2 linked regions of the Arabidopsis thaliana genome follow. The protein of the gene in region 2 purifies or fractionates together with the protein of the main gene of each other region. This does not show direct contact. Each region holds a gene or a part of one and is shown on either strand. Other genes may lie near its edges. The genes, in order: CPI1 and BAM2.

Region 1 (3,929 bases), on a different chromosome or scaffold from region 2:
GCTCACAATGAAGTAAATGGCATAGAAAAGACATCCAACTCTGTACATGGCACTTCGGTCCACAAACTCATAGTAAGGAAACTGCACAAGTTTGAAAACAAAAACAGAACATATGAGCGGTTATTGTCAAGTGACTAGTTTCTAAACAAGATTCTAGAATGATTAAGTAGATAAACGTAGTCTTTAAGCAGACTATAAGAGGAATTTGTGATATATGATAAAACACCAAGTAGAGAGCTCTTTTTATAGGAAATTATCAAAGAAATGTAGACATCACAACGTACATTTGCGATAGCAATAGTCTCCAAGTATGCAATGAAATAAGAAAGCGCAAGTATCCATGCAGCCTCAAAACACCATTTCAGAGAATCTGGTAAATCAGCAGTGGAATGGCGTAGCCTCCGAAGAGTAATGTTCGATGCAACGTGGTAAAAGAGGAAGCAAACATGTGTTAGGAAGAATGTTGTGTGAGGCACCTGTTCAACACAAAACCCCTGCCATAAGCTCATGGAAACAAGAAAACTACTCAATAGAACAAATCTGCCGAGATAATGCTGTGCTTACATTATTCATTTTCCATGATGGAAAAGTATAGGACGCTCCAAGAACTTTAAAGAAATAGTGAGTCCAAAAGTAGTTTCCGACATAGCTGAAAACAATTATCCAGAGATTTGCCTGTGGTAAAAACATGTTCCAATCAGTACAACTATGGATGAGATCTTGAGAACTCTCACCAGTACTCAAGGAAGTTAAAACAAGTTCTAAAAATAGTTTGAAACTAGAACTGGCAAGCCAAAATGTCATGCACATAGAAAAAAAGCTTGCCTTAACCCAATAGCGGTCCTTCCAACATAAACTTCTGTCGGCCTGAAAGAATAATGCATATATTCTGAGTCCATATGGTAAGGAAAACAATAGAGATTTGCATTCAATTGGAAGCAAGTAGCTAGTAGACAAACAAGTATAGCACCACGAACACGTTAGCTCACAGTGAAAGCAAAAGTTGTCAAAAAGTAACCTTTCCAACGAGTAACATGGGTATAACGAAAGCAGGAACAGCTGAAACCAAAGCTAGAAGCAGATACTCCAACTCCGTGAATGTCTGCTAGTTTGCAAAGTAACTAACACTTATTAGTACTTCTTCAATACCACTTAAAAGACAACTTCATACAACAGTAAAATTTTCAGATCTCTAAAACACTGACATGGTAAACAATGAGACATCATTTCATAAACTTTGTTGATCTAATTTAGCAGATAAAAAAAAGTGAATAGCTACTTCAACTCTGTCTCATCGTCTCCTAAATACATCAGACACTTAAAAACAATGCTCATTTGATGATCGCATAGACCTCGTAAAGCTTGTAAGGAACAACGATGCCTAAACAGAGAGTGAGCCAAAAAGGAGTGTAGAAGAGGAAGAAGAGCTCTCCCCATCTCTTGCTCGGATTCGGTGCCAGCCACAAGCTCGGTGAAGAAGATCCTATCAAATGTAAATCAAAAAAATCAGGGAATGGGGACGAGAGATTCGAATCAGAAGAAGAAGAAGAGATCGGCGATAGTTTTACCTGACATAATCGCTCCGCCGGAGAATCTTAGAAACGTTGACTTGAGTAGTGTGAGTGAGTGAGCCGAGATTTTGTGTACGGGCGACCAAATAGATCCCAATCAAGCTGACGTGGCAGATGTACTCAGTGATGATGATTTTGACGAAAGCTAGATCCGCTCGCTCATCGTTCCTATTATTTTACCGTTTATTATGACATCACCTCTTTTTTCTACTTCTTTGTTGCTAAATTGTTATATTTGTTGTTCCCTTTTCCCAACATAAGAAGTGGGCCTATGTTAATTTAATTCTAAAATAATATGTAATCTAATTTTATTTTTTATTGTTAAATTTGATTTTAAAAAAATGTATATAGCAAATTGAAACTTTTGAGGTAAAGAGTTTATTTATATTTTTAGAATTTTCAAAAAGCAGATGTATGTGATCGTAAAAACGTTTACAATATATGTAAAGTTGGAAAAAAAAAAGCTTATATTATGTACTATTTTGAATTTTATAGTATTATTTTGCATTTTTTGGAAAACTCTTTTATTAATGTTAAGAATTTAGAAAAATACAAAAACTTATTAATAAATAAATATACAAAAATTATCAAGAAAGAAACTAATGATGTAGTATTCATTCATATCTTTAATAACCAAACATTGATGGAGTTTGGCTTTCAAAAAAAAAAAAGAAAAATGTGGGTTTTCAAGAGTTTAATTGTCTTATTGACGAAAAGTGAATGTGGTCTAGTGGTATACTGATATTCATAAGTCTACCATAAACTAGCAAAATCTTCAACCTCAGTACTTAATATCAAATTAAGTTTCTTAACACTAGTGTTAATTGGACAAATGACCGGTCCATCGTGCCTTAAAACCGAAAAAATGTGTTAGACTCTACTTATTCTATGTTTTCTAGTCCGCTTTTTTTGGTTCACTTGACCTAAAACATAATGGTTTGTTGGAAGTATTATATGATATTTGATTTTATGTAATTATGAAAAATGTGCGATATTAGATGTGTAAGAAGAAAGACTCGTTTTCAGAGTTGGGTGTGTCACCAACCCCAGGCAGGTTGTTGTTGTTCGAAGGGCAGGCCTTTGTAGTTGTTGGCACAGTTAAGGGTAAAATCGTAAAACGGTGAAAGAAAACATTGGAAGCATCGAATCCAATACACGCACTTCAAAAAGAGAACACAACTCCACCGGACCAAATCTAATTCTCTTGTAAGAGACGACGACGACGAACATGGCAACGAGCAGTGCGGCTTCTGTTGATATGGAAGATATTCAGACTGTTGATCTCATGTCTGAGCTTCTTCGCCGTATGAAATGTGCCTCTAAACCTGACAAACGTCTCGTTTTCATCGGTACAATCATCTCTTTCGTTACCTCTGAATCTTTCACTCAATCGGTACTTTAGGTTTGATCTCTGTGAAAATTGTGTAGCGAAAGTTCCGATTTTTATCTGTTTTAGTGTGTAAAAATTGCATTTTGCTGTTATCGTTAATGCTTTATCTGATGATCATAGCGAAGGGATTGTGAATTTGTGTTTTTTGGTTCAATAGAAAGGAAGAATTGAGTTTTGGTTCATGTATGATTTGGAATTTGCAGGTCCACCTGGTTCAGGGAAAGGTACACAGTCTCCGGTCATAAAGGATGAGTTTTGTTTGTGTCATTTGTCTACTGGTGACATGCTTAGAGCTGCTGTTGCTGCTAAGACTCCTCTTGGTGTGAAGGCAAAGGAAGCAATGGATAAGGGAGAGCTTGTTTCTGATGACTTGGTTGTTGGTATCATGGATGAAGCAATGAACAGACCCAAATGTCAGAAAGGTTTCATTCTTGATGGGTTCCCGCGGACTGTGACTCAAGCAGAGAAGGTTTCTGGTTCTTTTCTGTGGTTAGTTGTTTGTGTATCTGCTCGCTCTTGTAAATGTTCTGACTTTTTTTGTTTATAAATCTTGTAGCTTGATGAGATGCTTAATAGAAGGGGAGCTCAGATAGATAAGGTGCTTAATTTTGCGATCGATGATTCGGTTCTCGAAGAAAGAATTACTGGAAGGTGGATTCACCCTTCAAGTGGAAGAAGCTATCATACTAAATTCGCACCTCCTAAAGTTCCAGGAGTCGATGATGTAAGAAAAACCATCAAATTCTGATTCATCATTTTGACTTAGTAAATCGAGTTCTCTCTTGTGATTTGATCTCTGTATCAACTTCGTTGTTTGTTAGCTGACTGGAGAGCCATTGATTCAACGTAAAGATGACAATGCGGATGTTCTTAGATCAAGGCTAGATGCATTCCACAAGCAGACGCAACCGGTATGTTTCCTTATAGTACATGAACTTGAGGACTATCAGAGAATTTGACATTTGTTC
Region 2 (3,929 bases):
GCAATCCAAGGACGAGTAACAGTTTCGTAGTAGCAGATAAAGGTTTGACATGAGACTGGTGAGTTCCTTTGCCGCAAGGACCCAAATACGGACCACAAAGATGAGAGTTACCCACAAACGATGTGTAATTGAAGTAACTAAACTGTCCAGTGCTGGGAACTAAACCGGAGAGATTGTTGTAAGAGAAATCAACCGATGTCAAACTCTGCATTGATGCTATCGTCACAGGTATGGAACCAACGAGATGGTTTCTTGAAAGATTCAAGTAATTCAAGATCTTCATACCTGTGAGTTCATTAGGAATATCACCTGAGAGCTCATTACGGCTAAGATCAACAAACGTTAGCAGCTTACAACGACTGATCTCCGGTGCGATCCGACCGGAGAACAGATTGTGGCTAAAATCCAACTTAGATAGCTGCTGAAGCCTCCCAATCTCGGGAGGAATCGAACCAGAGAACTTGTTACCATCAAGAAGTAGTTTTTGAACACCGGACAAGTTTCCAATAGCTGCAGGTAATGAACCAGAGAGCTGGTTATTAGAAAGACTAATCTGACCAAGGTCACCAGAGACTCCTCCTCCGCTTATTGGCAACTCTCCGGTAAGGTAATTGTCTTGGAGCTCCACTTGAGATAATTTAGGTAACCCGAAGAGCTCCTTTGGAATCGACCCGTTAAGGAAATTCTCACCCATCCGGATCCGGGTCAGAGACTCACATTTACCAAGCGAATCCGGTATTGAACCAAACAAGAAGTTGCCAAGAGTGATTAACGTCATTAACCGGTTACCAGAACACATATTCGGCGGCAGAGTTCCGGTGAGTTTGTTCGAAGAGAGATCAAGAATCACTAATCTACCATTTTCCCCCAATTTCTGAGGAATACTACCAGTGAAATTGTTCTCCCAAAGCTGCAACACTTCAAGCTCCGGCATTTCACCGATGAACTCAGGTATAGCACCGTAGAGCTTATTCCTGAAGAGATTCAAAAGCGTTAAGTTCTTCAGCTGTGAAAAACTCGTCGGAATCTCGCCGGTAAACATATTGTTAGACAGATCCATCGATTTCAAGCTTGAAATCAATCCCAGCTCTTGAGTTATTGTCCCTGTAAATGCGTTTACTTGAAGAAACAACGTATCTAGCTTCTGAAGCTTCCCAATCTCCGGTGGAATCTCTCCGGTTAAACCACAATTAGCAGCGTCGAACCGAACAAGCTCTGATAAATTTCCAATCTCCGGTGGAAGACCATTTTCAAAAGCGTTGTAATATCCGATGTAAAGTTCACGAAGAGTCGTTAGGTTTCCGATCTCCGGAGGGATTTTACCGGTTAGCTCGTTACCGGAAACCGCTAAGTATTCGAGAACAGGCCAGGTTCCGTACGTCGCCGGGATTTTGCCGGAGAAGTAATTCCCACCGAGGTGAAGATGACGGAGCTGAGTGAGATTAGTGAGTGAAACCGGTAAATCTCCGGTTAAATTGTTGTTGTATAAGTCAAGAACACGGAGATTCACCAATCCAGAGGAGAGTTCATCGGGAAATGAACCGTTGAAGACATTATTGGAGAGATTGAGGTGACGAAGCTCATAGAGATTGGAGATTTGCGGCGGAATAGGACCTGAGATCTGATTAGCAGCGAGTGATAGATTCTGTAGCAGAGGTAAATGAGCTACGTCGGAGGAGAGAGTTCCGGAGAGGTTAAGACCTGAGAGGTCGAGAGAGGTCACGTGACGGAGAGAGACGTCGCACGTGACACCGGTCCATGAACAGAAAGTTGTTGAAAGGTTCCATGAGGTCAGGAGAGGTGAGTGTTCGTCGATGGTGAAGGAGGATTTGAGTGAGAGAAGAGCGTGGAGCTCGGTGATTGGTTTAGCGACGGTGAAGGAATGAGAAATGTGGAGGAGAAGGAGGAGGAGGAGGAGAAGAAGAAGCTTCATTTTTTTTTTGTTTTTTTTCTTCTCTTTCTGTGTAAGTTAGGGTTTGGTTTTAAAAAGGGTGAGAGTAAGTGAGGAAGATGAAGATTGTGTGTGTGTTTTTTATGAGTTTTATTTGTATATTGTAAAAGTATTATTTTTATTTTATTTTGGAATTTACTTGGAGGGAGATTTTTAAGAAACTTTGATTTCACATAAATTTTCTGAAAATAGAAAACACAAATTAAAAACTTGAAAAGTCGTTTATTTAACATATATAGAAACATATGCATGTGGTGGATTTAATGAAACATGGAATTAGAAAGGAAGGGATTCAAAAACGATAATTACATGAAGAAAATGTTAATTAATTTGGAGCCTTGTTGTTTTGAAACGTGATGTTACCTAATCTTGACAAAATCCAACACTTTATTACACAGGTATACAAGTGTAATAATGCAATACCAAAGCGAACCATAAATTCAAAAAGATGTTTTAAAGATAAACCCCATAATGAATTAATTGATGATGTTGAAATGAACGGTCCTGATGTTATAATTCGACGGGAAAAGATGGAGTCCACCACTGGGGATTCACAAACTTACCAAAACTTATTGAGACACCCGCTTCTTTAACCTCTCTTAAGCAAAACGAAACACTTAATTAACCAAAGAACCCCTTAAAAAGCTTTGTAATAACATTTCTATCCTTAGGACGGACCACAACAACAAGCCCCAAGGCAATGGCATGATCGACAAAACCCAGAGAGCCGGTCTCTGTACTCTGATCGACTGATAATGACGAGAACAACCTTGAGATGACGCACGGCAACAGTTAAGATCCTCGAGAGATGGGTAGGGATACGATCGTACTTTTGATTAGTGGAAGTAAGTCAGTTAAACACAGTCCTATGTGCATCATTTTCATCTTTTGCCAGTTACCACAGTTCACTGATCAACAATAATGGTTTCCCGACATGTATTTTATTTTATTTATACTGATTTTTTATTATCTCACAAAATTATCCAATTTGATTTTGTAAGAAAGTAGGATTTCGAATCATTTGCTTCTTTTGCCAGTTACCACAGTTCACTGATCAACAATAATGGTTTGCTCAGTGAACAAACATATTAGTTTTTTTTTTTTTAATCTTGTATTAAATATGGAATCAAAATGCAAAAGAAAAAAATGAATTTTTAATGATATAGATCTAAAGAAATACTGAATGTCAAAATTTTGAAAGCAGATTTTTAGTCACATGATTAGGGAAATATGTAGCCACTAGAATAAGTCGTACTCGTATTAGGTGAATTTTTGTTTTCTTCTTTATGGACCCGGATCAATAGAATAAGTTTTCATCTGCAACGCACTTTCTTGCACTAAATAATAAACTTATATTAGTGAAAAATTTATAATAATGAAAACATTTCTTGTTTAATGGTTTACTTCGAATGATAAGAATTGGTAAGCACGTGTTAGGAAATGTATACTTTTTTGGGGAAAATGTCGAAGATATACTTTTGGATGGGTGTGTGTGTATTGCAGATTCGTTTGTTGAAGCTTGATTTCGTATTTGGTACCAAATCGAATATATTTAACCTGACTAATAGATTATTATGATAGCACTAAACCTAACAATTATTGTTTGCTACTACAATCATAAAGAATTCAATTTATACTCTTTTTGAGAGTTTTTATGTTTAATCTTATTAGCATATCTCGAGAACTTTTACACAAAAGAACCAAAGCTGAATTTTGGTCTTTGTATCAATTGGGAGAGACACAAACATGACTGAGTCTTTAGGAACTGTTGCTTTCTCTTGAATCATGTAAACAGAAAGACACGCTGTAAAAGCAAACAGCCCACTGGTGTGTAGCTAAAAGACAGAACAAAGGTCACAAAGTCATCTTTTTGTTAAAAAATTTTGGTTTCGAAATTGAAAACAAAAAAAGAGAGAGTGGGTTCAAATTTTCAAGTGGTCCATTTCAAAATCTTGTAGGGTTTAAAAAAAAGAAGACT

The links.
Region 1: the proteins of BAM2 (region 2) and CPI1 purify together in Arabidopsis thaliana (affinity purification with western blotting, with the first as the bait; one study listed by BioGRID). This does not show direct contact.

The regions. Positions count from the first base shown.
Region 1 is NC_003076.8:20,509,502-20,513,430, reverse strand, and holds the start of CPI1 (cyclopropyl isomerase), read right to left. Parts: upstream 1,765-3,929; 5' UTR 1,576-1,764; coding exon 1,569-1,575; intron 1,484-1,568; coding exon 1,353-1,483; exon of another isoform or gene 1,103-1,352; coding exon 1,019-1,102; intron 868-1,018; coding exon 826-867; intron 676-825; coding exon 565-675; intron 477-564; coding exon 285-476; intron 82-284; coding exon 1-81. Other genes in the region: AT5G50370 (Adenylate kinase family protein), read left to right, coding at 2,800-2,920, 3,165-3,430, 3,518-3,685, 3,783-3,872. UniProt on the Arabidopsis thaliana protein: Converts pentacyclic cyclopropyl sterols to tetracyclic sterols.
Region 2 is NC_003074.8:18,415,745-18,419,673, reverse strand, and holds the start of BAM2 (Leucine-rich receptor-like protein kinase family protein), read right to left. Parts: upstream 2,107-3,929; 5' UTR 1,934-2,106; coding exon 1-1,933. UniProt on the Arabidopsis thaliana protein: Necessary for male gametophyte development, as well as ovule specification and function. Involved in cell-cell communication process required during early anther development, and regulating cell division and differentiation to organize cell layers.